Macaca fascicularis: one gene and its partners. The protein of the gene in region 1 purifies or fractionates together with the protein of each later gene. This does not show direct contact. Links are inferred from orthologs where the notes say so. Each region holds a gene or a part of one and is shown in the gene's direction. Other genes may lie near its edges.

Region 1 (7,775 bases):
ACAAAAATTAGCCAGGCGTGGTGGCGGGCACCCGTAGTCCCAGCTACTCGGGAGGCTGAGTCAGGATAATTGCTTGAACTCAGGAGGTGGAGGTTGCAGTGAGCCATCATACCACTGCACTCTAGCCTGGGCGACACAGCCAGACTGTCCCCACCTCCCTCCACCAAAAGAAAAAAAAGAAGATATAAAAATTAGCCAGGCGTGGTGGCAGGTGCCTGTAATCTGAGCTACTTGGGAGGCTGAGATGGGAGAATCGCTTGAACCTGGGTGGTGGAGGGTGCAGTGAGCCAAGATCAAGTCACTGCACTCCAGGCTGGGTGACAGAGCAAGACTCTTGTTTTTTTAAAAAAAAAATATATATATATATAAAGCCTTCCAAATAGCTGAGACTACAGGCATGTGCCACCTTGTCCGGCTAATTTTGACTTTTTTTTTTTTTTTTTTTAGAGATGTTGGTGTGCCATGTTTATTGCCCAGGCTGGTCTCAAACTCCTGGGCTCCAGCAATCTGCCCACCTCAGCCTCCCAAAGTGCTGGGATTACAGGTGTGAGCCACCGTGCCCAGCCAAGATACTTTTTTAAAAAAAATTTTTTGAGATGGGGTCTTGCTCTGTCACCCAGGATGGAGTGCAGTGGCATGATCTCAGCTCACTGCAACCTTCACCTCCCAGGTTCAAGCAGTTCTCCCAAATCAGCGTCCCGAGTAGCTGGGATTACAGGCGTGCGCCAACATGCCTGGCTAATTTTTGTATTTTTAGTGGAGAAGGGGTTTCTCAATGTTGGCCAGGCTGGTTTTGAACTCCTGACCTCAAGTGATCCGCCTGCCTCAGCCTCTCACAGTGCTGGGATTACAGGCGTGAGCCACCGTGCATGCCATGTCTTTCTTTCTTGGTTTATTCTTTCATTTTGGTGAAGTGCAGCTTTCTGAGAAAAAGTATATAAGAGGCAAATATTTTGCATGTCAGAAAAAGTCTTTATTTTTTTTTTTGAGATGGAGTCTCATTCTGTCACCCAGGCTGGAATGTAGTGGTGCGATCTCGGCTCATTGTAGCTTTTTGTATTTTTAATGGAGACGGGGGTGTCACCATGTTGGCCGGGCTGGTCTCGAACTCCTGACCTCGTGATCTGCCCGCTTCAGTCTCCCAAAGTGCTAGGATTATAGGCGTGAGCCACTGCGCTCAGCCCAGAAAAAGTCTTTAGCTTTATGTTTGATTGATGACCTAATTGGATTTAGAATTGTAAGTTGAAAATAATCTTTCCTTAGAATTTTTAACGCATTGTTCCATTGTCTTCCCACTTCCTTCAATGTTGAAAGTTTGTGCCATTCTGATTCTGGATTCTTTGTGATCTTTTTTTCCCTCTGCATGCTTTTAAGATCTTTTCTGGCTGGGTGTAGTAACGCAGGCCTGTAGTTTCAGCTACTTGGGAGGCTAAGGCTGGAGCCCAGGAGTGCAAGGCTGCAGTAAGTTTTAATCAAGCCAATGCACTTTAGCCTGGGTGACAGAGTGAGAGTCCATCTCTTTAAAAAAAAAAAAAAAAAATTGTGATGATATACCGAGGCCTGGGTTCTTCTTTGTTTTGTTTTGTTTTCTTGAGACGGGGTCTCACCCAGTCGCCTAGGCTGGAGTGCAGTGGCACAATCTTGCCTCATTGCAACCTCTGCCTTCTAGGTTCAAGCGATTCTCCTGTCTCAGCTTCCTGAGTAGCTTGGACTACAGGCACATGCCACCACGGCCAGCTAATTTTTGTATTTTTAGTAGAGATGAGGTTTCACCATGTGGGCTAGGGTGTCTCGAACTCCTGACCTCAGGTGATCTGCCCACTTCAGCCTCCCAAAGTGCTGGGATTACAGGCATGAGCCATCGTACCCGGCCTGCTTTTTTTTTTTTTTTTTTTTTTTTTTTGAGGCAGTCTTGCTCTTGCCCTGGCAGCTAGAATGCAGTGGTGTGATCTCGGTTTTGCAACCACTGCCTCCTAGGTTCAAGCAATTCTCGTGCCTCAGCCTCCTAAGTAGCTGGGATTACAGGTGTGCACTACCACGCCCAGCTAGTTTTTTTTTGTATTTTTAATAGAGACGGGTTTCACCATGTTGGCCAGGCTGGTCTCCCATTCCTGGCCTCTAGTGATCTGCCTGGTGGCCTCCCAAAGTGCTGGGATTACACGCGTGAGCCACTGAGCCTGCTTGCCTGAGTCCTTTTTCATTCATTATGCTGTATACTCATTGGGCTTTTTGTAACTGGAAGCTCATGTCTTTAGTTTTGAGAAACTTTAAAATAATATTTTTGTTTTCAGACTATTATTTTTTAGAGATGGGGGTCTCGCTCTGTTGCCCAGGCTAGAATATCGTGGTGTCATCATAGCTTACTGAAACCTTGAACTTCTGGGCTCAAGTGATCCTTCTGCTTCAGTCTCCCACTTACATTATTTTTCTTTCTGTCTTTTCTTTTTCTTTTTTTTTTTTTTTTTGAGACAGAGTCTTGCTCTGTCGCTGCCCGGGCTGGAGTCCTGTGGCATAACCTCCGTTCACTGCAACCTCCATCTCCCGGGTTCAAGCAATTCTCCTGTCTCAGCCTCCCGAGTAGCTGGTACCACAGGCGCGTGCCGCCATGCCCGGCCAATTTTTGTATTTTTAGTAGAGATGGAGTTTTGCCATGTTGGCCAGGATGGTCCTGATCTCCTGACCTGGTGATCTGCCCGCCTCGGCCTCTCAAAGTGCTAGGATTACAGGCTTGAGCCACTATACCCGGCCTCCCATTTATATTATTATTATTATTTATTTTTTTTGAGACGGAGTCTTGCTCTGTCATTCAGGCAGGAGTACAATGGAGCCATCTCGGCTCACTGCAAGCTCCACCTTCCAGGTTCACGCCATTCTCCTGCTTCAGCCTCCTGAGTAGCTGGGACTACAGGCGCCCGCCACCACTCCCAGCTAATTTTTTGTATTTTTAGTAGACAGGGTTTCACCTTGTTAGCCAGGGTGGTCTCGAACTCCTAACCTTGTGATCCGCCCACCTCGGGCTCCCAAAGTGCTGGGATTACAGGCGTGAGCCACCGCGCCCGGCCTTTATTATTTTTTAATGATTGATTCTCTTCCAATTTCTCTGCAGTTTCTCAAACAATGAATTGGATATTGGACCTCTAAGATTGAGTCTGTTTTTTGTCTTTTCTGTCCATGTGTTTATCTTTTTGTTCTACTTTCTAAATTTAAGGCTTTTAATGGATTTAAAAACTTCTGTTCTTATTTTTTGAATTTTCTTATAGTATTTTGCTATTTCCTGAATATACTGTCTTATATCTCAGGGTTTAAAAAAACATTAGCTTACTGTTACATTAGTGGCTCTTTAGGAGAAAGTAGAGACATGTACTTACTCTACTGCATTTAAAGAAAGTTTTTTTGTTTGATAAAAATAACTTTTTTTTTTTTTTTTGGAGACGGCGTTTTCGCTTTTGTTGTCCAGGCTAGAGTGCGATGGCATGATCTCGGCTCACTGCAACCCCCGCCGCCTGGGTTCAAGTGATTCTCCTGCCCCTGCCTCCAGAGTAGCTGGGATTACAGGCACCTGCCACTACACCTGGCTAATTTTTTTTTTTTTTTTTTTTTGCATTTTTAGTAGAGACAGGATTTCACCATGTTGGCCAGGCTGGTCTTGAACTCCTGACTTCGGGTAATCTGCCTGCCTTGGCTTCCCAAAGTGCTGGGATTACAGATATGAGCCGCCACATCTGACCAATTTTTATATTTTTAGTAGAGACGGGATTTCACCATTTTGGCCAGGCTGGTGTTGACCTCCTGACCTCAGGTGATCCACCTGCTTCAGCCTCCCAAATTGGTGGGATTACAGGCGTGAGCCACCATGCCTGGCCAAAAATAACTTTTGAGTAATAGTACAATTAATTGCCACTAGGAAATAATTTGCTACTAGATTATACTACTTGATTTCTAATAACAGATCACTTCTTAACTGGGAAGCCATACAGATACTCTGTGAGTATCCCAAATTCAGATTTACTGAAATATCCAATTCAGCAAACGTCTGTTTTGGTTAGATGGCATGAAATGAATAGAGGTAGTACAATTTGAAGTAAAGTATTCATGTAGAAAATGAAACACATAGTTTTGTGAAGTGCTTTTCCTATAGATTATATAAAGTAATGGAATCTTTTTGGTAAATTTTATAGGATGATTTTTCGGGATTGTCACCCTACGAAAGGAAGAGACTGAAGAACATATCAGAAAATGCAGACTTTTTTGCTTCTCTTCAGTTGTCTGAGGTTTGTGTGGAGTCTGTATTTAAAACCAAGATGCTGGGCCAGGAGCAGTGGTTCACGCCTGTAATCCTGTCACTTGGGGAGGTGGAGGTGGGAGATCAACCTGGGTAACATACGGAGACCATCCCCCACCTCTATAAAAAGTAAATTAGTTGAGCATAGTGATGCATGCCTGGAGTCGTAGCTACTGGGGTGGCTGAGGTGGAAGTATGGCTTGAGCTTAGAAAGTCGAGGCTGCTGTGAGCTACGATCGTGCCACTGCATTCCAGCCTAGGCAACAGAGCAAGACCCTGTCTCAAAACAACAACAAGAGCAATAAAACCCAAGATGTCATAACTCCCACCAGAAGGTCAATAACATACCAGGTTTCATAGTGTCAGATGAGGAAGGCTAAAATAGGAGCAGGTTTTGCACTTAATAGGAAGAGGTTACTGTATTCCATTGATTCGAAGGCATTTTTTTTTGTCCTTTTTTTTTTTTTTTTTTTTTGGAGGCAAAGTTTTGCTCTTGTTGCCCAGGCTGGAGTGCAGTGACGTGATCTCGGCTCACTGCAACCTCCGCCTCCCGGGTTCAAGCGATTCTCATGCCTCAGCTTCCTGAGTAGCTGGGATTACAGGCGCCTGCCACCATGCCTGGGTAATTTTTGTATTTTTAGTAGGGATGGGGTTTCACCATGTTGGTCAGTCTGGTCTTGAACTGCTGACCTCCAGTGATCTACTCGCCTTGGCCTCCCAAAGTGCTGGGATTACAGGTGTGATCCACCACGCCTGGCCTTTTTTTTTTTTAATTTTTATTTTTTGAGATGGAGTCTCGCTCTGTCGCCCAGGTTGGAGTGCAGTGGCCAGATCTCAGCTCACTGCAAGCTCCGCCTCCCGGGTTTACGCCGTTCTCCTCCCTCAGCCTCCCAAGTAGTTGGGACTACAGACGCCCACCACCTTGCCCGGCTAGTTTTTTGTATTTTTTTTTTTTTTTTTTTGAGGCGGAGTCTCGCTCTGTCGCCCAGGCTGGAGTGCAGTGGCGCGATCTCGGCTTCACTGCAAGCTCCGCCTCCCGGGTTCCCGCCATTCTCCTGCCTCAGCCTCCCGAGTAGCTGGGACTACAGGCGCCGCCACCATGCCCGGCTAATTTTTTTGTATTTTTAGTGGAGACGGGGTTTCATTGTGTTAGCCAGGATGGTCTCGATCTCCTGACCTCGTGATCCGCCCGTCTCGGCCTCCCAAAGTGCTGGGATTACAGGCTTGAGCCACCGCGCCCGGCCGTTTTTTGTATTTTTTAGTAGAGACGGGGTTTCACCATGGTAGCCAGGATGGTCTCGATCTCCTGACCTCGTGATCCGCTCGTCTCGGCCTCCCAAAGTGCTAGGATTACAGGCTTGAGCCACTGCGCCTGGCCTTTTTTTTTTTTTTTTTTTTGAGACAGGGTCTCGCTGTGTTGCCCAGGCTGGAGTACAGAAACGCTGATCATGACTTATGGCCTATCTTTAGGATCTTTAGTTCCTGAATAGACCTTAGTTTAACGTGGGTATAGTAGCAGATACCTAATATTTTTAAAGGTAAGATATGTAGTTAAAACATTTTTACATGATTTTTATACTTTACAGTCTGCTGCAAGACTCCGTGAAATCATAGAGAAGAGACAGCCTCCTAAATCCAAGAGGTAAAATACCTGGTTTGCAATGCCTGAACCATGATACATTGCTCAACTGTTTTATAATTTGAAAAAAATGGTTTGGCATAGTAAGCTTAACAGATCGTCAAGTGCTGTTTAACTTCAGTCCCTCTAGGATCTCTGAGGTAATGCTACCCTTTAATAACTTTACAATTCTCATCTTCATCAAAATAATATGGAGCAAATACAATTGAGAGCTGAAATTTGTTTATATTTGTTGTTGCTATAATGGAGGGAAATCTTTTTTTCCACTAAATTATTGTTACTTAGAAAACTATTATTCTTAAAGACTCTTCTACTTACTTTTAATTTTTCTAGCTGTCTTTTTGCGTCTCAATTTGTTTTTGCTTTCTTAGTCCTAGAATAAAGGAAAGGAATTAACATTTATTGAACATCTATGAAACATACTGCAGTGATCTAGCAATTTTGTCATGTATTATCTCATTTAACTCTGACAACCACTGTATCCATCCATGTATGTGGTAGGTAATATATTCATTTTGTGAGTTAGAAATCTGGCTCAAAATATAAGATTGTTGGCTGGGTGCGGTGGCTCATGCCTGTAATCCCAGCACTTTGGGAGGTTGAGGCAGGGGGATCACCTGAGGTCGGGAGTTAGAGACTGGCCTGACCAATATGGAGAAAACCCATCTCTACTAAAAAAAAAAAAGTTAAAATATTAGCCAGGCATGGTGGCAAATGTCTGAATCCCAGCTACTCAAGAGGCTAAGGCAGGAAAATCACTTGAACCTGGCAGGCGGAGGTCGTGGTGAGCCAAGATCACACCATTGCACTCCAGCCTGGGCAGTAAGAGTGAGACTCTATCTCAAAAAAAAAAAAAAAAATTATTTGCTGAAAGTCAAAACAGCTTATAAGTGGTTTGAACTCCAGGGTTTTTAAATTTTGAATTATCTCCATTGCATTTTGGTAGTGCTTACATGTAAATGAAGAAACTAAAAATCTTGGTATCATTAGCTCATTTGTTTAGTGCCAGATGCTAATGAAATGTAGCTTCATTTACTTGGTTTGATTCTGTTACAGGACAATTAGCTTGAGAAAAGCTAGACCTTTAATCATGGCCAGGTATTTTCAAGTATGAAAAGTTACTGTAAGAGGAACATCATTAACACTGGAAAAACAGTAGCACTGGTCCTGTTGCCAGCTGATTAGTACCTTTACATTTGAATGTTTTTTATTAGCCAAGATAGGTGATTTCTTCCTAAATCACAAAATTCCAGCCCTTAATAGTTGCATAGGTAGTAGCAAGTTGATAGTATGGAAGTTGCTTAATGTAGAGGAAGAAGCATAGGCTTTGAGATGTAGCAAATTTGGGTTCAAGTTTTGATTCAGTCACTTACAGCTATGATATTAACCTTGGATACTTTATATAATTTTTCTTTCCTTTTCTGTAAAACTGGTGTTATGCTAATTCAGAAGGATTTAAATTTTTTTGAAAATTATTAAATATACATATAAAAAGGTACATATAATGTATTTGTGTAGTTGAAAAATTATACAGGTCCCAACCATGTACCTGCCATCCAGGTTAATAGAAATTATGAGTACCCCCGAAGGCCCATATATACAGCTCCCTCCAGATACTACCACTATGCTGACTTTTGTGATAATATTTCCTTGCATTTATTTATAGTTTCTTTTTTTTTTGAGACAGAGTCTCACTTTGTTGCCCAGGCTGGAGTGCAGTGGCGTGATCTCAGCTCACTGCAAGTTCTGCCTCCCGGGTTCACACCATTCTCCTGCCTCAGCCTGCCGAGTAGCTGGGACTACAGGCACCCGCCACCATGCCCAGCTAATTTTTTATATTTTTAGTAGAGACGA
Region 2 (7,775 bases), on another chromosome or scaffold:
TCAGCCTCCCAAGTAGCTAGGACTACAAGCACGTGCTACCACGCCTGGCTAATTTTTTTTGTATTTTTAGTAGAGACGAGGTTTCAACATACTGACCAGCCTGGTCGCAAACTCCTGACCTCGTGATGTGCCTGCCTCGACTTCCCAAAGTGCTGGGATTACAGGCGTGAGCCACCGTGCCTGGCTGTATCTAGTTATTTTAAAAATATGTGCTGGCCAGGCACCGGCACATACAAAAATTAGCTGCGCATGGTGGCAGGCGCCTGCAATCCCAGCTTTACTAGGGAGGCTGAGGCAGAGAATTGCTTGAACCCGGGCGGAGGTGGGGGCGGGGGCGGAGGCGGGGGCCAGCCAAGATTGCGCCACTGCACTCCAGCCTGGGCAGAAGGAAAATGTAAGGCAATATAAAATGATATCTTAGAGATATTGACAAGCTGGAGCAGCAAAACTACCGAAGTGCTAGGGCATCATTTAGAGTATAAAAATGAGCTTATATCCCGCATTTCAAACACTCTGTAAATGCTCAGTTACTTTTCTCTAAGTTGAAACCACCAATTACTGGGGAAAGGGGCAGTTAGATTTTATTGGTTGACTTTGTGTTTTCATTAATCCTTGTTGAAAAGTAGGGGAGTTGGTTTAGTTGAGAAAACAAAATACTAAAAAATCTGCCACTAAACTCTTTTAAGAGTTTGTCTAGACTGTATAAAATGAAAGATATCTACTATGTAATCTCTGAAAGTATTTTTAATTCTAAAGTTAAGTGTGATTTTTAGTGCTGTTGCTGAGGCCAATGTTGCTGAATTCAGGAACTTCTACAGTAATTGACAAAACTTGAGTTCTTCTGCTCTCATTTATCTAATCCTTCAGACCCCTCAGATGTTATCTATTTCCTGAAATCTGACTTCTCTGATCTTAGTGATTCTTAGACTTTTCCAGGATTTAGATAGTATTGTACAGTTTGCTGCTATGTGTATCTGTCTTTAATACTTGTTGTTTTCAGATATATTAATGCCTCATTTGTTGTATAAATCAGACTTTCTGTCTTCTACCAGTTATGTAATTTATATAATTGTTGCAGTACATGTTTGTTGATTTACTAGGCTGGATTGATGTTACAGAATTGGTAATCTTGGTTGGGCATGGTGGCACATGCCTATAATCCCAGTACTTTAGGAGGACAAGGCAGATGAATCATCTCTTGAGTTTAGGAGTTGGAGACCTGCCTTAGCAATAAAGCGAAACCCTGCCTCTACAAAAAAAAAAAATACAAAAATTAACAGGGCATGGTGGCATCTGCCTAGAGTCCCAGCTACTTTGGAGGCTGAGGTGGGAGGGTCCTTTGATCCTGGGATTTCAAGGCTTCAGTAAGCTGCAGTTGCACCATTTACAGCATGAGACCCTGCCTTAAAAAATGGGGTGCGGATGTTAATCTTGGCTAGATGTCTGTTTTGATTGTTAGGATGAATTGTGTTCATAGTATTTTTCTAAAATGTTCTATCCAGATAAACTTGTTTATTCATCTCAAACAGGGAGAGACTCTGAAAACTTGTCTTAGAATTTCCTAGTGTCACCTAGGCAGTTACTTTTTATGAGGTTGACCCTCATAAAAATTAATCAAAAATTAATCAAAAATTTCCCTTCTCTGTACGTAACAAGGTAATGTAATAACACGGAACCACAACATCAGTGTTTTAGCAAATTACACACTTAAGATTGCAAATGGCTACGTTTTTTTTTGAAATGGCGCCTCTTTCACCCAGGCTGGAGCGCGGTGGTATCATCTCAGCTCACTGCAACATCGGCTTCCTGGGTTTAAGCAATTCTCCTGCCTCAGCCTCCTGAGTACCTGGGACTACAGGCATGTGCCACCACGTCCAGCTAATTTTTATATTTTTAGTAGAGATGGGGTTTCACCATTTTGGCCAGACTGGTCTCAAACTACTAACTTCAGGTGATCCATGCTCTTCGGCCTCCCAAAGTGCTGGGATTACAGGTGTGAGCCACCGTGCCTCGCCCCAATTTTTTTTTTTTTTTAATTGATATAGAGTTTTGCTCTTGTTTGGAGTGCAGTGGTGTGATCTCGGCGTACTGCAACCTCTGCCCCCTCCCCGGGTTCAAGTGATTCTCCTACCTCAGCCTCCCAAATAGCTGGGATTACAGGCATGCGCCACTATGCCTGGCTAATTTTGTATTTTTAGTCGGGACGGAGTTTCTCCATGTTGGTCCGACTGGTCTCGAACTCTCGACCTCAGGTGATCTTCCCGCTTTGGCCTCCCAAAGTGCTGGGATTACAGGTGTGTGCCAGTGAGCCACCGGACCCGGCCATCAGTTGTTTTTTAAATAGACCTTCCAACTCAGTAGATGCCAGAAACCATGTGTTCAATATTTGAAATTATAATATTTTGATATACAAACTGCATCTATCAGATTACCTGTTGAACCCAAAAACTTTTCTTTTTAACAGTTATTCCAGTTTTTGGTTTGAAAAAGTGTTTGGTTTAAAAAATGTTACTTTAGCCATTTTTATTAAACTTTATGCCAAAATAAATCAATGTATGTCAGAAAGTGTTCATAATTATGGAAGTTTTCTCTTTGGATAGGCTCGCATGTCTTGGGATAGAGAGTCGACAGAAATTCGGTACCGTAGACTTCAACATTTGCTTGAAAAAAGCAATATCTACTCCAAATTTTTGTTGACGAAAATGGAACAGCAACAATTAGAGGTATGTATATGTAACTGACTATAAGTGAAAGCTTAAAAAAATTTAAAAATAGCTTTATTGAAGTGTACATTATATACACTAAAATATACAGATTTTAAGTGTACAGTTTGCTGAGTTTGACTAGTAAATATATAGATCTGTGTAACCACCAGCACAATCAAGACACAGTGCATTTCCATGAACTCCAAAAAATTGTCTTGTGCTGACAGTGATCCCAATGGCTGGTGTCCAGCAACCACAGTGCTTTCTGTCACTATAGACCAGTATTGTTTTTTCCTAGAAAATTGTATAAATGAAATCATGGTATTGTGCTTTTGTGAGTAAATAGTTGGTCTTCATCACCATTTGCTGGTATACAACTCTTAAAATCCTTGGAATCTTCAATGTTGTGTTTTTTTTTTTTTTTTTTTTTTTTAATGCTAATGATCAGTGGCTAGCAGCCCTTAGGTAGCTTCAGGATGGAAGCCTATGAAAGACAAAGCCTGGATTAGAGGGTTGGGATTTAGCCTCACCCTCAACCTTGAGGGAAAAAAGGGGGACTGAAAGTTAAGTTGTTCACCAGTGGTCATGATTGAATCAATCATGTCTATGTTATGAAGCCTTCATTAAAAACCCAAAAGGGCTGGGCGTGGCTCATGTCTGTAATCCCAGCACTTTGGGAAGCCTAGGTGGGTGGATTTCTTGAGCCCGGAAGTTTGAGACCAGCCTGGGTAACATGACAAAACCCTATCTCTGATAGACAGATTAGCTAGGTAAGGTGGCATGTGCCTCTAGTCCCAGCTACTTGGGAGGCTGAGGCAGGAGGAGGCTTGAGCCAAGGAGATTGAGGCTGCAATGAGCTGTGATGGCACCACTGCATTCTAGCCTGGGTGACAGAGCAAGACCCTGTCTCAAAAATAAAACACAACAGGCTGGGGGCTGTGGCTTACGCCTGTGATCCCAGCACTTTGGGAGGCCATGGTAGGTGGATCACTTGAGCCCAGGAGTTCGACACCAGCCTGAGTAACGTAGTGAAAACCCATCTCTGCCAAAAATATGAAAATTAGCCGGTCATGGTGGTGTGTGCCTGTGACCCCAGCTACTTGGGAGGCTGAGGCAGGAGGATCGCTTGAACCTGGGAGGCGGAGGTTGCAGTGAGCCGAGATTGCACCACTGGAGCACACCATCATGTCTGTCTTATTTTTGTATTTTTGGTAGAGACACAGTTTTGCCGTGTTGCCAAGGCTTGTCTAGAACTCCTGGGCTCAAGTGGTCTGCTTACCCTGGCCTCCCAAAGTGCTGGGATTACATGTGTGAGCCACTGCGCCCGGACTATCATATTCTTTATAATAAACCAATAAACTTTAGTGTTTCTTTGAGTTCTGTAAGCTCCTCTAGCAAATTAGTCAAACCCAAAGAGGGGCTTGTGGGAACCCTGATTTATAGCTGTTCAGTCAGAAGCATAGGTAAAGTGACTTGGGCCTTGTGATTGGCATCTGGAACTGGTAGGTAAAGTCTTGGGGACTGAACCCTCAACCTATGGGGTATGGTGCTGTCACCCGGTAGATAGTGTCAGAATTTAATTACATAGGCCGGGCGCGGTGGCTCAAGCCTGTAATCCCAGCACTTTGGGAGGCCGAGACGGGCGGATCACGAGGTCAGGAGATCGAGACCATCCTGGCTAACACGGTGAAACCCCATCTCTACTAAAAAATACAAAAAACTAGCCGGGCGAGGTGGCGGGCGCCTGTAGTCCCAGCTACTCGGGAGGCTGAGGCAGGAGAATGGCGTAAACCCGGGAGGCAGAGCTTGCAGTGAGCCAAGATCCGGCCACTGCACTCCAGCCTGGGCGACAGAGCGAGACTCCGTCTCAAAAAAAAAAAAAAAAAAAAAAAAAAAAGAATTTAATTACAATAGAGGACACCTAGTCGGTGTCACTGCAGAAATGCTTTTTGGTGTATAGGGAAAACCCCCACACATTGGGTCACAGAAGTCTTTTGTGTTGATTGTTGAGTGTGTAGGGAGAAACTGAGTTTTTTTTTTTCTCAATATTCTTGCACATATGCATTCTTTGTCTTGTTACTTTTGCTCAGTGTATTTTTGAGATTAATTCATGTCATGTTTTTCTGTAGGTTATTCTTTTTATTCCTGAGAAGGATTCCATTAAGAAATGTTGTTATTGGAGTGTAATTGACATACACTAAACTGCACATATTTAAAATGTACAATTCCCTAAGTTTTGATATAGGGATATACTTGTGAAGACATAACAGTCATGATAGTGGACATACCCACTGATTCCAAAGAATTCTTTCGGCTCATTTATAATTCTTCTTTCCCATCCCTACCCCATGTTCTATCCACAGATAGCCAATTGATCGGTTTTCTATTATTATAGGTTCATTTGCATTTTCTGTTGGTGATGTGTTCTTTTAGCTTTCATATATCTGAATGTCTTCACTTACCTTCGTTTTTGAAATACATTTTTACTGGTAAAGAATTGTTTTTCTTTAGTACTTTATTTCTTAGAGTACTTTAAAGATGTTTCACTGTCTCCTAGCTTATGTTGTTTCTGAAAAGTGAAAGTCCTGATAATATCTATATGTCTGTAAGCAGTTGGATTGCCTCCCTCAATCCCATTACCTTTCAGACCTGTCTCCAGATGTGTTTCCTGTCTTGGGCTTTTGCCCTTGCTATTTTATGCCTGGAACCTTCTTCCTCTAAATAACTGCATGGCTTAACTTCATCTTCAAGCCTTGACTTAAATGGTTTCTAGATGAGACCTGCCCTCACAATTTTAAGAAAGTTGCTGACACACCTGATTCTCTTTACCTTGTTCTGTTCTTCCCATTGCACTTTTCATCTGATATACATCTTTTTTTGTATTTATTGTTTGTCTTTCTACTAGACTGTTATGAAGATTTAAAAACTTGTGCAAATTGAGAGAATACAGTAAGTCCCTGTGTTCCCATCACCCACATTTACCAATTATCAGTTTAAATTTTGCTGTGTTTATAAAATCTCCTTTTTCCTTTGTTTGAAACCCTTTTATTGCTTTTTTATGATAAAGTAAAACAAATGGAAAAACAAATATTCAACTTAATGAGTTACACAGCATCTACCCCTTTCATCACCTCTTGGAAATGGTTTGAATTTTTGGTGTCTTTTAAACATTTGTAAGAGTATGTCTAGAATAGCTTTTAGTCTAGGAATAAGTTGATCCCTTTCTTGAGCACTCTACTTGATGCCCTTTATATTAAGAGGACTTTCCACTTTGGCTGAGAGAATGTGAGGTATACCTTATTATGCCTGACCCCTTGGAACATGAGCCTTTCCACCTACTTCTTTCTGGTGACTTTTCTCCTGGCCTTGGTTACCATGCACTTACCAGTAGTCAGCCCGAGAGAGAGGTAACAGTAGTCAGCCTGAGAGAGAGGTAACAGCTGCCTTTGTGCAGCTCTGTCCTCTCTGGTACTTGACCCTGGGAATGCTACTGCTTTGTTTTTTAAGTTTTTTGTTTTTTAAGTTTTGGGTTCTGTCTCCTCAACACAAAGAGACTGTTGGGCTCTGTTTGGAGTTTTCTCCATTATTTGTACTTTAAAATTGTATCGGCTGGGCGCGGTGGCTCAAGCCTGTAATCCCAGCACTTTGGGAGGCCGAGGCGGGCGGATCACGAGGTCAGGAGATCGAGACCATCCTGGCTGACACGGTGAAACCCCGTCTCTACTAAAAAATACAAAAAACTAGCCGGGCGAGGTGGTGGGCGCCTGTAGTCCCAGCTACTGGGGAGGCTGAGGCAGGAGAATGGCGTGAACCCGGGAGGCGGAGCTTGCAGTGAGCTGAGATCCAGCCACTGCACTCCAGCCTGGGCGGCAGAGCGAGACTCTGTCTCAAAAAAAAAAAAAAAAAAAAAAAAAATTGTATCAGGCAGTAAGCTGGGCAGTCAGAAGATTAACCTTGTTTCCCTTTTGTCAATGTTTATAGTTCGTTACTGCATGTTGTCTGAAAACCACTGTTTAATAAATTTTATCTGGATTTTAGTTTAAGGCAGGATGGTAAATCTGTCCCATTAGTCCATAAAGGCTTGTTGAAGTACAAGTTCCTCCCTGTTTTTTAATTATGATAGACCTTAGTTTCTCATTGTAAACATAAGTTATTTGATAATTGATATGCGTTTTTTTTTTTTTAATGGTGCACTTCCCACTTGTGACATAAGAAAAAATTATCTTACAGGAACAGAAGAAGAAAGAAAAATTGGAGAGAAAAAAGGAGTCTTTAAAAGTTAAAAAGGTAATATAACCAGCCAGAATATTTTTTATGTCATTTAAATATTGAAGAAATACTTTTGTATTCTTCTGACTTTTTTGATCATCTGTTTAACTTTAATTTTTTTTGGTTTTTTTTTTTTTGAGATGGAGTCTCGCTCTGTCGCCTCATCTCACTGCAAGCTTCGCCTCCTGGGTTCACGCCATTCTCCCGTCTCAGCCTCCCAAGTAGCTGGGACTACAGGCGCCCGCCACCACGCCCGGCTAATTTTTTGTATTTTTAGTAGAGACGGGGTTTCACCGTGTTAGCCAGGATGGTCTGGCTCGTGATCCACCCGCCTCGGCCTCCCAAAGTGCTGGGATTACAGGCATGAGCCACCACGCCCAGCCTGTTTTCTCTCTCTCACAACAGTTCTTATTAGGTAGAGGTACTTTTCTCCCCCATTTTACATAAATAGGCTGATGCAAGGAGATAAAGAACAGTCATTCTTCATTATTCAAGGATTCTATGTTTGTGAATTTGCCAACTCACTTAAATTTATTTGTAACCCCAGAGTCAAGATTCCTAACACCGTCATGGTCATTTTTGGACATGCTTATGTTCAGAGCAGCAAATAATTTTAGTCTTCCAATACATATGTTCCAAGCTCAGCTCAAACATGGGTTGCTACTGTATGTATGTCAAGCATATGTCCTCATGGTCTTCATTTAGCACCATGATTTTTGCATTTTTGTGTGCTTTTCCTGGTGATTTTGCTGTTAAAATGGCCCCCAAGTATACCAAAGTGCTGTCTAGTGTTTCTAAGTA
Region 3 (8,335 bases), on another chromosome or scaffold:
GCCACCACGCCCAGCCCACAATTTTTTCTTTCCAGAGCACTAACAATCATCAAATGACGTGGTCCTGACACCCTCATAACAAGAACCATCAGTACCTTCTTCTGTATTCCGCCAAAATATTTTAACCTGCATCACTTACTCTATACAGTCAAACCTAGTTAAAGGCAGAAAGCAAAACCACTTTCTGAACTGCCTGAATGATATATCTAGAGTTGTCTAAGTAATGGATTACACAGTTCCCAATTACTTGTGAACAGTATGAATGGTCTTCAAAAATACTACAGTTCCTATACTCCCTGCCCCATTCCATATCCACCTCCTCCCCCTGCCCCAGTCCATATCCACCTCCTCTCCACCCCAACCCCTCACAGTTACACAAGCATACTAAATCAAAGTAAAGGAATTGAACACCAATATAAACCTGGCAGAAATCTGAAATCACTGCCGCCTCAAACTTGAGATCATTGCAGCGCTCAGGTGTACTGTGACTCAGCATTTTACAGTGCCTGAGACCTGAAATGATATAAAGGTCCTTTTCCCTTCATAGCATTGGCTAAATATGAAGCCAAAATAAATATGCTATCTCAAAACAGTTAGTGGCTGAAACATTACAGTGACACAGGTTTACTTCAGTCTCTGATTCTTGGGAGAAGAGCCTGTGTCAGTTTAAACACACAAAGTTCTTCTGAAATAACTCAAGCCATAAAATTAGCAAATTATGCTGACTACAATTAATACGCAGAAGTGGAGAAAATATTGCAAAGAAATGAAAATGAAATTCAAAAATAGTTACTGTGGTTACTGGTCTAGTCAGGTAAAAAAATAATAATAATAATAATAACAAGAACAAAAGAGGGAATTTACCCAGCTACTCTTCATTACAATATCAGAAGCTAAAATGGCATCAAGAGAGAATTTTTTCCCCTTGGAAAAAAAAAAAAAAAACTGAGTAAAACTGAAACAAATAGGAAACTCCAGCCCTTTTAAACTGTTCACGGGCAGAAGGCTAATAAGATAAAACAATATGAAATAAAAAAGATAAATTAATATGAAGGTTGCAATAAAGACAGATTTTCAGTTCATATTCTCACGTGGAGCAGGAACTAACAGAGAAATGAGACTGACAAGCAAGGAGATCTGGGAAGACGAGGTCATGAAAAGGGACAGACGGGCGTTTCCCATAGGTAATGGAGGAAGTCAGGGAATCCCAGTAGAAAAGCCAGAAATTTAAATGAGTAAAGACAATGTAAGCAAATAGGCCAAAAACAATAGTTAATACTTAATTTGTTTTAGCTTCTAAGTAATTTTTAAAATTTTAGTTATTTATTATTTTGAGACAGGGTTGCACTCTGTCACCCAGGTTGGAGTGCAGTAGTATGATCTTGGCTCACTGCAACCTCCACCTCCTGGGCTCAGGGGATTCTCCCACCTCAGCCTCCCGAGTAGCTGGGACTACAGGGGTGTGCAACCACCCCCAGCTAATTTTTGTATTTTTAGTAGAGAGGTGGTCTTGCCACGTTGGCCAGGCTGGTCTCAAACTCCTGACCTCAAGTGATCCATCCACCTCAGCCTCCCAAAGTTCTGGGATTACAGACCACAGCGCCCAGCCCTAAGTAACAGAAATGTATTAACTCTTTTAAACCAATGATATAAAAAATAATAAGCCCCATCTTACACCTGAGGAAACCACCTCAGAAAAGTTAACTTGTTGAAGGTCACATTGTTCCTAAATGACAGAGTCAGACTACCAACCGACACAATCTAACTTCGCCACAACTTTACACCTTTTCTTATGAACATCTCAAAATGTGAAAAGTAGAGAATTGGATTTCACAGCCATGCATGAGGAGGATGTCAGCATTTACACGGCAATCGTGGTTGGCAGAGGCAGTGGCTCAGGCCTGCAATTCCAGCACTTTGGGAGGCCAAGATGGCTGGTTCATTTGAGATCAGGAGTTCGAGACCAGCCTGGTCAACATGGTGAAACTCCACCTCTACCAAAAATACAAAAATTAGCCAGGCATGGTGATGGGCGCTTGTAATCCCAGCTACTCGAGACGCTAAGGTGGGAGAATCACTTGAACCCGAGAGGTGGAGGTTGCAGTGAGCTGAGATCGCGCCACTGCACTCCAGCCTGAGGGACAGAACGACACTGTCTCAAAAAAAAAAAAAAGAGTTCGGGATCCTACCACATTGTTGCACATTTTTTGTACCACAAAAGGTACAAACGAAGGGTGGTGGGAACTCGAATGAGACAGCAGTGTTCACCAGTGTCCAGTCAAGGAAGACTTCACAGAGGGAGCAGGATTTCAGATGGGATTTGAGGAAAAGGGTTTAAGGACTATCAATGACTTATCACTGATTACTCTTAGGGTTTTCGGGCTAAATTTCAGAGACCTTGTCATGGCATTCAGGCCCTCCACAACTAGGTCAAGGGGAACGCCAAGGAAGAAACATTATCCTGAGTAAGATGCTTATACTGAAGTCTTTGCTATCAGTTCAGGTTCCAAGGGATCATAAAATCTTACTTTTCTGTCTCCGTAAACCGTAAATGGGTTGAAGGCAGGCACTTTTGTAACACTCCTCTCTCCGGACCAGGCCTCTGTACATCATAGCACGTGGTAGATGCACAGCATTCACTTTCTGAGCGAAACTAAAACGAATGTAAATCAAGTCACCTGGTGGCCAGAGTTGCCTTACACCATCTAAACCTCTGGTATTAGCTAATTTTAAAGCTATCAAGAGGCTTAAACACGTGGTCCAGAAGCAACACGTGGACCTTGGTTTGGACTGGAATGCCACAAACCAATTGTAAAAGGCCATGCGATCATTTGAAAAACCTAAATATAGACTGGGAATTAGATTAAGGAATTGTTAATTTCATTAGATGAGATTACGTCGTCATGCTTTTAAAAGTTGTCTTAAATATATACACTCAGGGTATTTATGAATGAAACGGTTTCCCTGAAAACACCAGAGATGTATAGGGGAGCGAATGAAACAAAATTGGTAAAATGTAGCTAACTGCACTACGGGGTGTAATAGACTGCTTTTGTTGAATGTTTCATTATTCCCATAACATAAAACACAACATACACACACACACGCTCCCCAGTTTTTTTCATCGTAAGCCCCGAGGGAGCCAGACCCAGAGGGTCCACCGACGTCCTGGATTCTGAGAACGATTTCTGCGCGCCAGGCTGGCCTCCTGCAGGAGCCGGGGCCCACTTCCTTTCCCGACCGACTCGAAGCTAACGAAGCTGCCGCGTAGGCCTGTTAATCCCCTCAGTACCCAGTGCGAGGTTAAACACGCGACGTCGCAACCATGGCCTTTGAGAGGAAGCTGAATTCCTGGGGTGCGCCGTGTAGAGTTCATTTCCTACGTCGGCCCAGCACAGCAGCCTGGACCCAGAGGAGATCAGAGAACCAGCCACACTCTTCACCACCCCGACCCAGTGGCCGCGCCTCGGGCGCTCGGGGGCGGGCTCCGCACTGCGACGTCACGGCGCACCGTGCGCCCGGTCAAAGTTCAGCCCCGCCCCCGCTTCCCCCTCGCTGTCTCCCTCGGCCTGATCCGCTGCCGACGCCGCTTGTGGGCCCGGCTCCTCTGTCTGCTCCGCCACCTTCTTCCTGAGCACTGCCCGGCCGGCCGCCATGGCTAACGTGGCTGACACGAAGCTGTACGACATCCTGGGCGTCCCGCCCGGCGCCAGCGAGAACGAGCTGAAGAAGGTATCCGGGAGCGGGCCGGGCGGGCGGGTGTGAGGGGCGCGGGGCCTGCGCGGCCGGGGATGTCTTCTTCAGCCAGGCCGCGCTACTGGGCGGCCCGCGAGCCGGCGCCGGCCGTGACGGGCCCGGGCTGGGGATCGGCGGCGGCAGCGGCGGGACCGGCCTCGCGGCGAGCCGCGCCCTCCGGCCTCGGCTGACCTTGGGCCGCCGGCCCCGCCCGCCCGCAGATGCAGCAAATAAAACTCACTCCTGCGCAAACACGACGGTAGCCCTTCCTCCCTCCTCGGGCGAGCGCCGGTGGCCGGTCTCCCCCAGGAGGCAGCAGCTCGCCCGGCTCTCCGCGTCGAGGTCACCACCCCGGAAAAACAGGTTGGACCGAGGTGCTCAGCGCATCCCGGCCCCGGGAGAGAAGCTGTCCACCCCGCGGCCGTCGGCCCCGGGTCTGGTGCTCCGCGGGGAAAAACGGCGGGGAGGTCCGGCGGGGAGGTCGAGGCCGCCCCCACAGAGCGCCTCGGGCAGATGGGGTTGTTTCCTGGGATCCCCGGCTGCGGGCTGCGGGAGCTCCTCCCTCTCTTCCTCCCTCGCCCATTGACCCGGAGGTAGCGTGGGTCTGTGTTTGGATGCATTGTTCTGTGGTCAGGTAATGCTAATGTCCTGTACCTGCTTAGGAATAAGCCGTGGTCCCAGCCAAACGCCTGAGTGTGCAATAAACATGAATAGAAGGCCTTATTATCGCTGTTTGCAATGCTGCGATATCTTTCATCTCAGGATTTCAAAGCACACGAGGCGTTTAAGCCCCACAGCATCCTCACCGGGCTAAGAGCATCCGGATTTGTAAGCCGAGAAAAATGAGAATGCTCCTTAGGCAGTGAGAAGAGTGCAGTGGACTTCCTGTTACCTTACCGGAAATGCTAGTCTGTATTATATAATTCACGAGCCTCCGTAAATGAAGATTTAAGTGCTGTATGACCCAAACACCTCGTTGAGAGTGTGCAACTTCACTACCACCGAAGTTGCCACCACGACCCCAGTTAACCACCACGTGCAAATAAAACACCTAAAGACACTACCTGGGACCACCTTGACTTTTTCATGATGTTACAGTTAGAAGGAAGGCCTGAGCCATCGGGAGCAGGAATTGTGACTTTAGCTTGATTTATAGTAATGTTTTGCAGTCCGTAAAGCTTGACAGTCATTTATCTCAAATTTATTAGAGTGGTCTTGGTCTGGTTACTTGGCCATCAGACACTTGACGATAGGGAAAATATGGATAATGTTTGAACGTTTTCCCTATGGTATTGCTTCATTGTTTTATCTGGTTTTCACGTCACTGTAATTATTTTCAAGTATAGCTACAGTCTACTTGGTTATATTACATTAGTAAACAGTATCGTGAGGAAGTGCCAAAGAATACGAATAGAAAATATTTTTGGAAGGTTATAACTCTAGAACATTACTTTTCAGAAAAGTGGATGTTAAGTTATTACAAAACTTTAAACTGGTGTTTAGTTATAACCTTCTTTGTTTTTGTCCATTTTCAAAGGCATACAGAAAGTTAGCCAAGGAATATCATCCTGATAAGAATCCAAATGCAGGAGACAAAGTAAGTTATTTGCGATTTTTTTATTCCGGGGGTTTTAGTTTTAACTTAAATTGCCCTCCTTGAAAAAAAGGAATGTTGCAGGAAAAAAATCCAACTATGCCCACACAGCCACATTTTCATAATGTCAAAGAGTATTTTAGTTTTAGAATAAGAGTACTACCATTCTGAGGAGTGGTGGGTGGTAAATAGAAGCAGAATCAAGTCAAAGGTAACTTGTCCCTTTTATTAGAATTAAATGGATTCTGGATTCCTATAGCCTCTCCCCACTCTTCTATTTGAAAATGTAATTATTTTTATTTTTACCTTTTCTTTATAGTTTAAAGAAATAAGTTTTGCATATGAAGTACTATCAAATCCTGAGAAGCGTGAGTTATATGACAGATACGGAGAGCAAGGTCTTCGGGAAGGCAGCGGCGGAGGTGGTGGCATGGATGATATTTTCTCTCACATTTTTGGTGGGGGATTGTTCGGCTTCATGGGCAATCAGAGTCGAAGTCGAAATGGCAGAAGAAGAGGAGAGGACATGATGCATCCACTCAAGTGAATATCTTGTTTTGTTGTGTTAAAAAATTAGGTACTTTTTGTCAAGTGGAATATTGACTCAGTAGAAGAAAAAAAACTCATAGAATGTTCTGTCCTTCATTAGAAAAACTTCCATGTGCCTTGTCTTCTTTTGGTGACTAAATAGAATTTGATTATCTGACTGTTTCTATTTTGCTGTAGCTCTTAAAAGGATGGTAGATATTTTTTAATGAGAGGAAGGTGGTTTTATATGGTTCTGAGGCTGCTTGTTATTATAGGACTTAAAATTTCAAGTGTAAAGATCGTTTTCTTTTTTCTTTTCTTTCTTTTTTTGAGACTGAGTTTCGCTTTTGTTGCCCATGCTGGAGTGCAATGGCACAATCTCAGCTCACTGCAACCTCCGCCTCCTGGGTTCAAGCGATTCTCCTGTCTTCAGCCTCCCGAGTAGCTGGAATTACAGATGTGGCACCATGCCCAGCTAATTTTGTATTTTTAGTAGAGGTGGGGTTTCTCCATGTTGGTCATGCTGGTCTCGAACTCCCAACCTCAGGTAATCTGCCTGCCTCGGCCTCCCAAAGTGCTGGGATTAGAGGCGTGAGCCACCATGCCTGATCTTTTTTTTTTTTGAAATGGAGTCTGACTCTGTCACCCAGGTTGGAGTGCAGTGTCACCATCTAGGCTCACTGCAACCTCCGCCTTTCAAGTTCAAGCAATTCTCCTGCCTCAGCCTCCCAAGTAGTTGGGATTACAGGCACCTGCCACCATGCGGGGCTAATTTTTGTATTTTTTTAGTAGAGACAGGGTTTTGCCATGTTGGCCAGGCTGGTCTTGAATTCCTGAGCTCAGGTGATCAGGGATTACAGGCATAAGCCACTGCACCCAGCCTATTTTCTTTGAAGTATATGAATCTTCCAAGTTACCTTTTATTTAAAAACTAAAAATGAGTGACTGTCTGCCTACTTTGTGTACATGTTAGAGTCACTCATTACTTGATCCTCAGTGTGAACTCTCTTAAGTTGGTTTCCATGGAGCTTGCTGGCTTCCAGCCTGACATTAACCTGCCAGCACATGAATGGTGCCTGACCTTGATCTTAGACTGTGAATCCACAAGCCCTCTCCAGTATATGAAATTAGCTATTTCACTTTGCAAAATCTGGGAGGTCTTTTTTCCCATTCTTTTTTTCGATAAATTATTTTATTAGCAAATGTCAGTGGCTGAAGTTCAGATACTTAAAATATTTCATAATATCCTAGTTTATACACTTGAGTAAATTAGAGGAAGTCATGTTATCTGTTAACTTGAGTCTCATTGAATCCTTAAATTTGTTTTTTAAAAGAATTTGCCCTCAGAAATTAACATTTGAATACCATTCCAATGGTAATATTTGTGCAGTGCAGGTTAATTCGTTTATATTTTTCTTTAATATAGAAATGATCTAAAAAGAAAATAGGATCAAAAGAGTGCTGTCTGTACTTTATAGTTCTTCATGTTTAAAGAAATGTTATGCTATATAGTAAAACAGTTTTCTGTTGTTTTAACATTTCAAATTTTCCTGTTATTACAAATACTGTGTTTATAATACTGCATTCCATGATTTAATCATTTACCTTTTATATAAGGTATTGCCAGGTTTTTTTTTTCTGTAATAGATAGTGCTGCTATGAGTATCTTTATGTAAAGCTTTGTTTCTCCTTGGCAGAGATTCCCAGGCAGGCATGAGTGTTTTGAGGCTGATAAATACAACTAAATTGCCTTGCACAGAGGGATTGTGCCAGTTTAGGCCCCACTAGTGGAGAGTGCCAGCCCTGCCAAACCATTACCTTCATTTTTCTTTCCTTGGCCTTCTTTGTTGAAATGTGTCTTTTTTTCTGGCTTAGGGTACTGGTTGTGCATATCAATTGTAATTTAATATGTAGGGGGAAAAAGCCGATTTTTAAAAAATGATTTGTTACAGAGAGTATAGAAGATGCAACAAGCTTTTTTGTCTAAGACTCAGCTGTAGATAGGTCATTATTTGACGGTGTTGTTGGTAATGTTTTGTCCTTACATGTGGAATTTTTATCCTGTCTACAACAGTTTTAAGTTTCTGAGAATAGGCCGGGCGCGGTGGCTCAAGCCTGTAATCCCAGCACTTTGGGAGGCCGAGACGGGTGGATCACAAGGTCAGGAGATCGAGACCATCCTGGCTAACACGGTGAAACCCCGTCTCTACTAAAAAATACAAAAACTAGCCGGGCGAGGTGGCGGACGCCTGTAGTCCCAGCTACTCGGGAGGCTGAGGCAGGAGAATGGCGTGAACCCGGGAGGCGGAGCTTGCAGTGAGCTGAGATCCGGCCACTGCACTCCAGTCTGGGCGACACAGGGAGACTGTCTCAACAAAAAAAAAAAAAAAAAAAATAGTTTCTGAGAATAACAATTTTGAGAAAGTTTGAATATCACAAAATAGTGTAGGTGCTTTGTAAAATACTTTTAACTATTTT
Region 4 (7,775 bases), on another chromosome or scaffold:
TTGATAGAATACACTTCAAGCAAGTTCCAGTTAATGTATAATATAGGCTATAAATCAGTTACAAAAAATGTTATTTCACGTTTTCATAAAACTATATATAAAAAAATTAGGCAGGCACAGTGGCTCATGCCTGTAATCCCAACACTTTAGGAGACTGAAGTGGGAGGATAGCTTGAGGCCAGAAATTCAAAACCAGTATGAGCAACATACTGAGACCCCATCTCTACAAAGAAGACAAAAATTAACCAGGCATGATGACAAGCACCTGTAGTCCCAGCTACTTGGGAAGCTGAGATGGGAGATCACTTTGAGACCAGGAGATTGAGGCTGCAGTGAGCTTTGATCATACCACTGGATTCCTGCCTGGGTGACAGAATGAGATCCTGTCTCAAATTTTAAAAATAAGAAAAGGAAAAAATTTTTAAAAACCACACCATGCCAAAATATTCAACATAGAAGAGTGCTTTCAAGCATATGTGATGCTTATTTTCAAAGTAAAATGAAAATCAAGTTGAGTAATCAGATAAATCTTTCAATTCAAATTTTAAGAATTGTGGTAGTTTCAGAGGAAACCACCACTTTTCAAAGAAGGTGACAAAAGAAGTTCATCCTGCAGAAATCCTTCAGGTCATCAAGAAAAATGTAAACCAGGAATTCCCTTTATCCTTCTCTTTTTCCTTACACCTAATGACATTAGACATTATGCTGTGTTTGCATATTGCATTAAGTGAATGTACTATTTTTGCAGAGATCTTATTGAATTAAAGAAGAAATGTATTATAGGAATAATTGGGATAATCACATCACTTTCAGTAATTATAAGCTTTGATAAGAATGTCTGCTTTGGCATGGATTTTCGAAGTAAGATGTGTTGAATGAGTTACTTTTTCTTATATGCATCAGGCATTTACAAACAAATAAACAAAAAGAACCATTTGATAAATTCTCTCTCAAAGTTTCAGTAAATGTTATCATATTCCCTATATTCCAGTGTTCTGATAGCATCTCATGTTTCCTCCAACTAACTCTCTGTTGACATCGTCTGATCCCTAATGAAAGAATTAACCCATTAATATTTTAACCTATTTCAGCATAACACTATACATCATGTTCCATAAATGTAATTCCTTCATAATGGGGTATTCAGGTGACTATAATAATATTTTGTATAATTTGAATAGATGTTTTCTGAGAATGGAAAGCATGTTTGGATAACAGCTAAAAACAATTCAATGTTTTCTAGTGATCTAAGAAAGGAACAGCATCAGTAAGTGATGTGCCCTAGTCCTCCTCATATCTCTTGGTAATTGAATAATTAGAATTGGTAGCTACTGTTAAAACACCAGAGTCTGGAGCATAGTGAGGGCTACTCAAGCAAGGGAAAGAGCTAGAAGATCAGAATCAGGCTGTGTGCCAACACCACATTTTGAATGTTTATCAAATGATCACAGTGGACTATCATGGAATAGACTCTAGTATGTGGAGGAGTCAGAGGATGAGATGAGAAACAAGTTCATAGGCTTGTTCAAAGGCTACCGCCAGCCTTATTTTGGAGACAGTGATATCCATACCTGAAACTTGATATATTGCCCTTCTCCCACATACTTCACCAACTAACAAAAACAAACACCACCGCAAGATCCCTGGTCAACTGTCCCAGCAGTTCATTCCTGGAAAAGACAGGAACTGCTTGGCACACCTGGACCAGGCCTTCTTCACCTCTGTTCACGTTGTGATTTCTGTTTCTAACCACTTTCCTTCGTAAATAAATATATCTCTCCAGCTTTCTCACCCGATCAGTATTTCCAGAGGAGCATATAAGTGCCTGTGAAGGAAACCAGATAAAAGAAAGACTACGTCCACTTTTGTTCTTTCCTTGCTTTGTACAGTGCCCAGTACCAGATTAGTATAAATAGTAGATTAATTAACTAATTAATTACTGACTGAATAAATGGCATTTCATGTATTGGTCCTAACTGAAGTTATTACTGGTTTTAGTTTCCTTTACATAGAAACTAAATTTTGCTTTTCATGTTTTTCTCTTTCAGCTTTGTCCAAAAGCAATAAACCAATCCACACTATTATTCTAAACCCTCATGTACACCTGGTAGGGGATGATGCCGCCTGCATAGCGTATATTAGGCTCACACAGTACATGGATGGCAGTGGAATGCCAAAGACAATGCAGTCAGAAGAGACTCGTGTGTGGCACCGTCGGGATGGAAAGTGGCAGAATGTTCATTTTCATCGCTCGGGGTCACCAACAGTACCCATCAAGTAAATATTCCCAGGCTGTCAGCTTCTTTGTTAATACACCCATGGTCAGCTTCTTCTACTTATTCCATTGTTAATAGCGTGGTATATGTTATTTAATGCTAGTAGTTGGTTACACTGATGAAAATAAATGACTTCACGGGAAAGGTTTATGATTCTCTGGAAAGATCAATCAGATCAGCCATCTGTGGGTTGAAACTTGCTATAGAGCAGTATACAATAGGTTTGGATAGGACTAGAGACTACCATATCAAAATCTCACAGTGTTAAATCTAGGGGATTTGTATAATAAGGCAAAATATTTGTGACTTCATTTTCTCAATTGACAGAAGGGGATATCAGAGGAAAGCATAGGGTGGAGTTTCTAAAATGGCCAATATATTATCAGGAGTTTCATTTCATGGACGATCCCCTAAAGCTCAGTTACAGAGACCCTTTTAAAAGGCCATTGTCAGGTAGTGCAATGTCGTTCTCACCTCACCACTCTACCTCAGATATCATTTGCTTTTCCAGTCAGCGATTAGGCACATATTTATTGTGAATCTCCTAGGTGCTTAACCTGCGCCAGATTCAACACAAGGTAAAAGATATTGCTTTCAAGGAACATGCATTCTCATTTAGTCAATCATTGATTCTAAAGAAAAAAATGATATAATAAACTTTATCATCAACTTAAGAATACAGTAAAATTCATGAACAGTGTAGTAAACTGTTTATAACAGTTTGGAAGTACACTTTGTGTATAAGATAGAATTTTGGACAAAATCTTAAATGATGAGTAGAATTTAGAGACATAGAAAGATAGAAAAAACAAAGGAGAATAGTCCAGGCTAAAGGAGCATCGTGAAGAAAAGTACAATATCAGGATTTAGTTTAATATGAGAGAACATTATTGGTAAGGAATGCCGGTTACAACTAGAGTAAAGAGGAATAATTGAAAATAGGTTTATTAGTAAAGTGGAGTGATAAGAAAACAAGAAGCGTTTAAACTCAGTGTAGAAGATTGGTCCACTGTTGATCTCTTTCCGAATTATCTCACCAGGATCACCTGTTAATATTTGGGATTTGGAATGGGGGTTCATACAAACAGCCATTCAACTCACTCCAGAGAATCCATCATGATTTCTTAGTTTGATAACATACCACAGTGGTTTTCAGAGGCCTTCTGTATAGACTTACTACTTATATATCACTGTTGGATTTGTAAAAAGTGGGTCAACAGGGACAAAAAAAAAAACAAAACCAAACGATAGGCTGAAATTTATTCCCAAAACCATAGCTATGTAATTAAGAGAAAAACACAAGAGGAATATGAAGATAATGAAGACACCTGTTTTTGTGTGTTTTTTACCCCAAAGAGGTACAGCACAAATCACCAGTTAATATAGAAGGGGTTACATTCATACAGTACCAGAGGGTTAGGTTTTTTTACAATTCCCTGAAGTGTTTATGGGATGAAGCCTATTCAAGAAAACTTCATTTTATGCCAGGTGGCTTAAATGGGGCTTCTCTTAATAGGCCACCCTGTATTCCAAATGGGAAAGAAAACTTCTCAGGAGGCACCTCTTTGTGGCAAAACATCTAAGGCCTGAAAATCATTCACATATGGGTCTTGTAAGTAACATCCTGCTCCGTGATACTTTGTGATTGGAGCTGAATGAAAAGCTGCATGGCTGTTTTCCTTCCTTTTGAGGATATTTTTTCTTGCATAATATTCAATGAAAAACATACACGGTCTTTGAAAATTCATAGCAATTTTGCATGAGCTTTTGAATCTAACATTCAGCCCTATTTGGTAGCATAATCCTTATTTTAAAGGTAATAAACATTGAAATGAATTTTTTCCAACATGTGGATTATGTCATGTTAGAATCCTGAAGTTTTCACATCAAAAGTAAATTATGTCTAGGTCAGTTCAGATAACTCTCAATTATCCTTACTTAATTTATATTAAGCTTTAGAATCCTCTGGTGTCTTAACCATTCTTTCAAGAGGTTGCAATTCTATAAGCAGCTGGCTATGGTGAATGTGTAAATCAATTTGCTGTGCCTGACTGAGTATAATGGTGCTTGACCATGAGCACAGGCCACAGGAGGAGTCAAGCTGAAATTTAAAACTCACAAAGTGGGTAATTCCAGAGGATAATTGAAAGTTGACTGTAATTAACTTCATGCTTTTATTGTTGTTTTTAATTAGTTGTTTCTTAGACTTGGGTTACAAGTATTCAGATATGTATGGTGCTGTTGTGAATATTTGCCTCATTCAGAGAACTAAACCTTATCAGAGCTTTTAACAAATAGTGCTCCCAGCTGTTGCTTTCAGCAAAGGAGAGCTCCAATTAAAGAGAGTAATCATGTTCTCTCTACTTTTGAGACTATATTCCTTGTTAAATTGACTTCTAGGTTTAATTTCCCAAGGAATCTAATAATAATAACAAAAACTAAGGATGAACTTGAATTTTAAGTCTATTTCAGCAAAAAGATTATATTCATTTACTAATTTGTCCAGTAAACAGGAATGCTTAAGATGTATACTTAGATTTAATAACGTGACTGAAGCCTGGGTCCCTGTCTCTTTATTTTTAGCTTAGCTTTGTGTGAAAAAATAATTAATACTCATTTTCTATTTTAATACTGTCTTTGTGTAACATTGTGTGTTTCTTCCTGTAATGATCACAAGCAAACATCTCTTATACATAGTGTTCTCAATCTATTTGTTAGCCAAGTTATAAAACTGTAGCATAGTCAAATCTATGGCAAAGCAATTTGATGATATTTTGTAAAACAATATAATTTATTTCTTCCTCTCCCTTTCTCCTTTCAGCTAAATATCAACAGTGCCACTTCTGCATTCTCTGTTCTCAAGGCACCTGGATGGTGACCCTGGGCCGTCCTCTCCTCCTCTTCATGCATGTTTCTGAGTGCATGAAGTTGTGAAGGTCCTACATGTAATGCATATGTGATGCATCATCTTATCATATATTCCTTCCTATACATTGTTTACACTTCAACTACGGGGATGTTCCGTGCAAACTTAAATTACTGTTGGCAAAACAATAGGGGGAGATTAGACAAAAAGAAAAAATCCACAATATTCCAAGTACAACTCTTCATCAAGTTTCTCTGTTAATGCCAAGATTTAACAGACTTAAGAACTATTGTTCTCTGAATGACAGTTTGTAAGAGAAATGTAAATTTTTTAGAACTCTTTGCTGTTAATCTGTTTTGGCTTGTTTGGTTTTTTTGGGTTTTTTTGTTTTTGTTTTTGTTTTTTTTAAGGTAAAAACATATACCTTCAGTTTCCTGGTGTGATCCTGGTTAAAATGGATGATTTTTCATGGGAAGTTTTGCTGATTAGCAATTAAAGTGGGTTGATATGTGGGCAAAATCACTTATGAAAGTAGAAGCAAGAATCAGTTGGTTTGCTACCACATAAAGCCATGCTCTTTTTGGTCAAACTGTGTAAACTGGAAAAATTCACATCATTTCTGAGTTTAATCACTTTAGGATATATTCACATTGTTTTGGTGAATTTGCTGAATTGAATTGTTTTTCTTTCTCGAATCTGTGATCTCTTTTCTTTATCCTGTTTCTTTGTTCCTTTCGTTTGCTTCCTTTTTTATTTTTCTTTTGTTCCATTCTTTTCTAACTTTCTTCCCTTTTCCTTTTTTGAGGAGGCCGGCTAGTAGTGTGTGAGAAAAGAAAAAAAGTGAAATTTGCATAATGAAGGTAAAAAGGAAATAAAAGCCTTTTGAAGGTGGCTTAACTAGCACTTTTGATCATCTTCAGGGCCCACAAAAATGTTGTCAAGATTTTAAAGGTTTATAATTCTGCTTAAGCTCTACTTTGGACTTAGGTATCCTAACTATGTTGGAGGTATTTGAATTGTTTAAACTTAGGATAAAAGCAAGTTCCTCCTGTGACTGCAACGTCTTACTGATTGGGACAGTTGCCAGGAGGATACCAAGTTGATAGCAGAGGGGGTGTTATGCAAACGCACTCACCTCCGCCTTGGGGAATGAAAGGGTCACTTCTGCATCATCACTAGCTAGTTTTCTAGCGTTAGAGAGGCTTACAAATGTTTGCCATTCTCATACGTGTTTTGAACTTGATCTTTGTGACTTGTGTTTTTTAGCTTCTCTCTTGAATCAGAGTATCGTTATCTTCCTCCAAGGAGTTAGGATTTTCCAGTTTAAAACAAAAAGGGAAATGTCCTAGGTTTTCTTTGTGCTTCTCATTTTTCCTTTGTTGATTGAATTCCTGTGATTTTTTTGTTCTCTTCTCTGAAATGCTTTACAGTGCATGGAATCTCCATCATTGTTATTTTAACGGTAGTAATTCACAGTCCTCAGAAGCCTGTTTTTAAAGCAGAAGCAAAAAAGGAAAACAAAGCAGCAAAAACAACCCTTCGTCTTTTCTCTCATCTGACCTTTCTGTGTTGATTACTAATCATCTTAGATATTATTGCTAGTGGATGTATGGTAGATGGGTTGAAGCTTTTCTGATAATTATTACACAATTTAAAACAATATATATTTAAAATAAATATATACAGTCAATATATTGAGCCATGTTAACCTGCCAATGAGATCTGTGAAAAAAATAATGGCCTCATTTTTCCCTTTTTAATTTCTTTTACCCTTTTGTGAAGCAGCTATATGTGGCATACATGTATTTAAAGAAAAAAATAGGTGTAGAGTGTTTTTTTTTTACACTTTTAGCATGTGGTGTTGAAGTATTACTGTAGATCAAGTTTGTCTTCCGCACTAAGATGTGAGGAAATTGTGATTTGTTCTCTCCACCACAAATGAACTACACATTTATTATCTTCTATCATTTTGAAACACTGCAGTTTACCATGGGACACTGTATATATTTCTTGCCATAATGGTAAATGACTGATTGATATATTTAAGAGTTAATAAATTTGTGATTTCTGCTGACAGTGCGTCCATCTTTATTTCTTCAGAAGAGCTACTGTATTTATGTCTGCATGGTGCTGGCCAGTGTCAAGGGCAGTGTATCCTGCTCTGTCCTCATTCAGTACATGACAATTTGCACTTGGTGGGAATGGCAAGTTAATAGTTCTCTATGAGCAAAACAATGGTCTCTTCTGGGAAATTGTTGCTGAGAACAACATAGTTAACAACTAAGACTCCTAAAAGCTTCTCTATACTATACCCTCCAATCCAGCCTTCACATGGCTGCTTTTTTTTAAACACAAACCTGACCTTGTAACGCTTTGGTGTTATCATCTCTGGAATATAGGCAAGCACCCCAGCTCCTGCTACTTCTCAACTTGAACTAGAGCATACGTGGATGCTCAGCTTCTTTTGATTTGCTAAAAACATCCACTTGCTCACATGCCTGTTTATGCTGTTCATGTTTATGTTTCTTACCTAGAATAAATAGTCTTCCACTACTTCTTACTCTTTCCTAAGATTCAGTGTAGAGCATCATGCTCCACAGCAAACCTTCCTAGGCCCTATTCTGGGCTTGCCT

Evidence for each region.
Region 2: the proteins of WDR76 (region 1) and HELLS purify together in Homo sapiens (affinity purification with mass spectrometry; 4 studies listed by BioGRID and IntAct, counting the BioPlex papers as one, with this or other methods). This does not show direct contact. The link is inferred for Macaca fascicularis from reciprocal best matches to the Homo sapiens genes WDR76 and HELLS.
Region 3: the proteins of WDR76 (region 1) and DNAJA2 purify together in Homo sapiens (affinity purification with mass spectrometry; 3 studies listed by BioGRID and IntAct, with this or other methods). This does not show direct contact. The link is inferred for Macaca fascicularis from reciprocal best matches to the Homo sapiens genes WDR76 and DNAJA2.
Region 4: the proteins of WDR76 (region 1) and CAMK2D purify together in Homo sapiens (affinity purification with mass spectrometry; 3 studies listed by BioGRID and IntAct, counting the BioPlex papers as one, with this or other methods). This does not show direct contact. The link is inferred for Macaca fascicularis from reciprocal best matches to the Homo sapiens genes WDR76 and CAMK2D.

What each region holds. Positions count from the first base shown.
Region 1 is NC_088381.1:20,417,696-20,425,470, forward strand, and holds part of WDR76 (WD repeat-containing protein 76), read left to right. Parts: intron 1-4,178; coding exon 4,179-4,271; intron 4,272-5,868; coding exon 5,869-5,924; intron 5,925-7,775. UniProt on the Homo sapiens protein: Specifically binds 5-hydroxymethylcytosine (5hmC), suggesting that it acts as a specific reader of 5hmC.
Region 2 is NC_088383.1:103,329,191-103,336,965, forward strand, and holds part of HELLS (lymphoid-specific helicase), read left to right. Parts: intron 1-2,600; coding exon 2,601-2,723; intron 2,724-6,935; coding exon 6,936-6,992; intron 6,993-7,775. UniProt on the Homo sapiens protein: Plays an essential role in normal development and survival. Involved in regulation of the expansion or survival of lymphoid cells. Required for de novo or maintenance DNA methylation. May control silencing of the imprinted CDKN1C gene through DNA methylation.
Region 3 is NC_088394.1:42,896,593-42,904,927, reverse strand, and holds the start of DNAJA2 (dnaJ homolog subfamily A member 2), read left to right. Parts: upstream 1-3,554; 5' UTR 3,555-3,654; coding exon 3,655-3,732; intron 3,733-5,272; coding exon 5,273-5,332; intron 5,333-5,648; coding exon 5,649-5,872; intron 5,873-8,335. UniProt on the Homo sapiens protein: Co-chaperone of Hsc70. Stimulates ATP hydrolysis and the folding of unfolded proteins mediated by HSPA1A/B (in vitro).
Region 4 is NC_088379.1:118,988,258-118,996,032, reverse strand, and holds the end of CAMK2D (calcium/calmodulin-dependent protein kinase type II subunit delta), read left to right. Parts: intron 1-2,048; coding exon 2,049-2,277; coding exon of another isoform or gene 2,278-2,281; exon of another isoform or gene 2,282-2,321; intron 2,322-3,792; coding exon 3,793-3,859; 3' UTR 3,860-3,888; intron 3,889-5,097; coding exon of another isoform or gene 5,098-5,101; 3' UTR 5,102-7,218; downstream 7,219-7,775. UniProt on the Homo sapiens protein: Calcium/calmodulin-dependent protein kinase involved in the regulation of Ca(2+) homeostatis and excitation-contraction coupling (ECC) in heart by targeting ion channels, transporters and accessory proteins involved in Ca(2+) influx into the myocyte, Ca(2+) release from the sarcoplasmic reticulum (SR), SR Ca(2+) uptake and Na(+) and K(+) channel transport.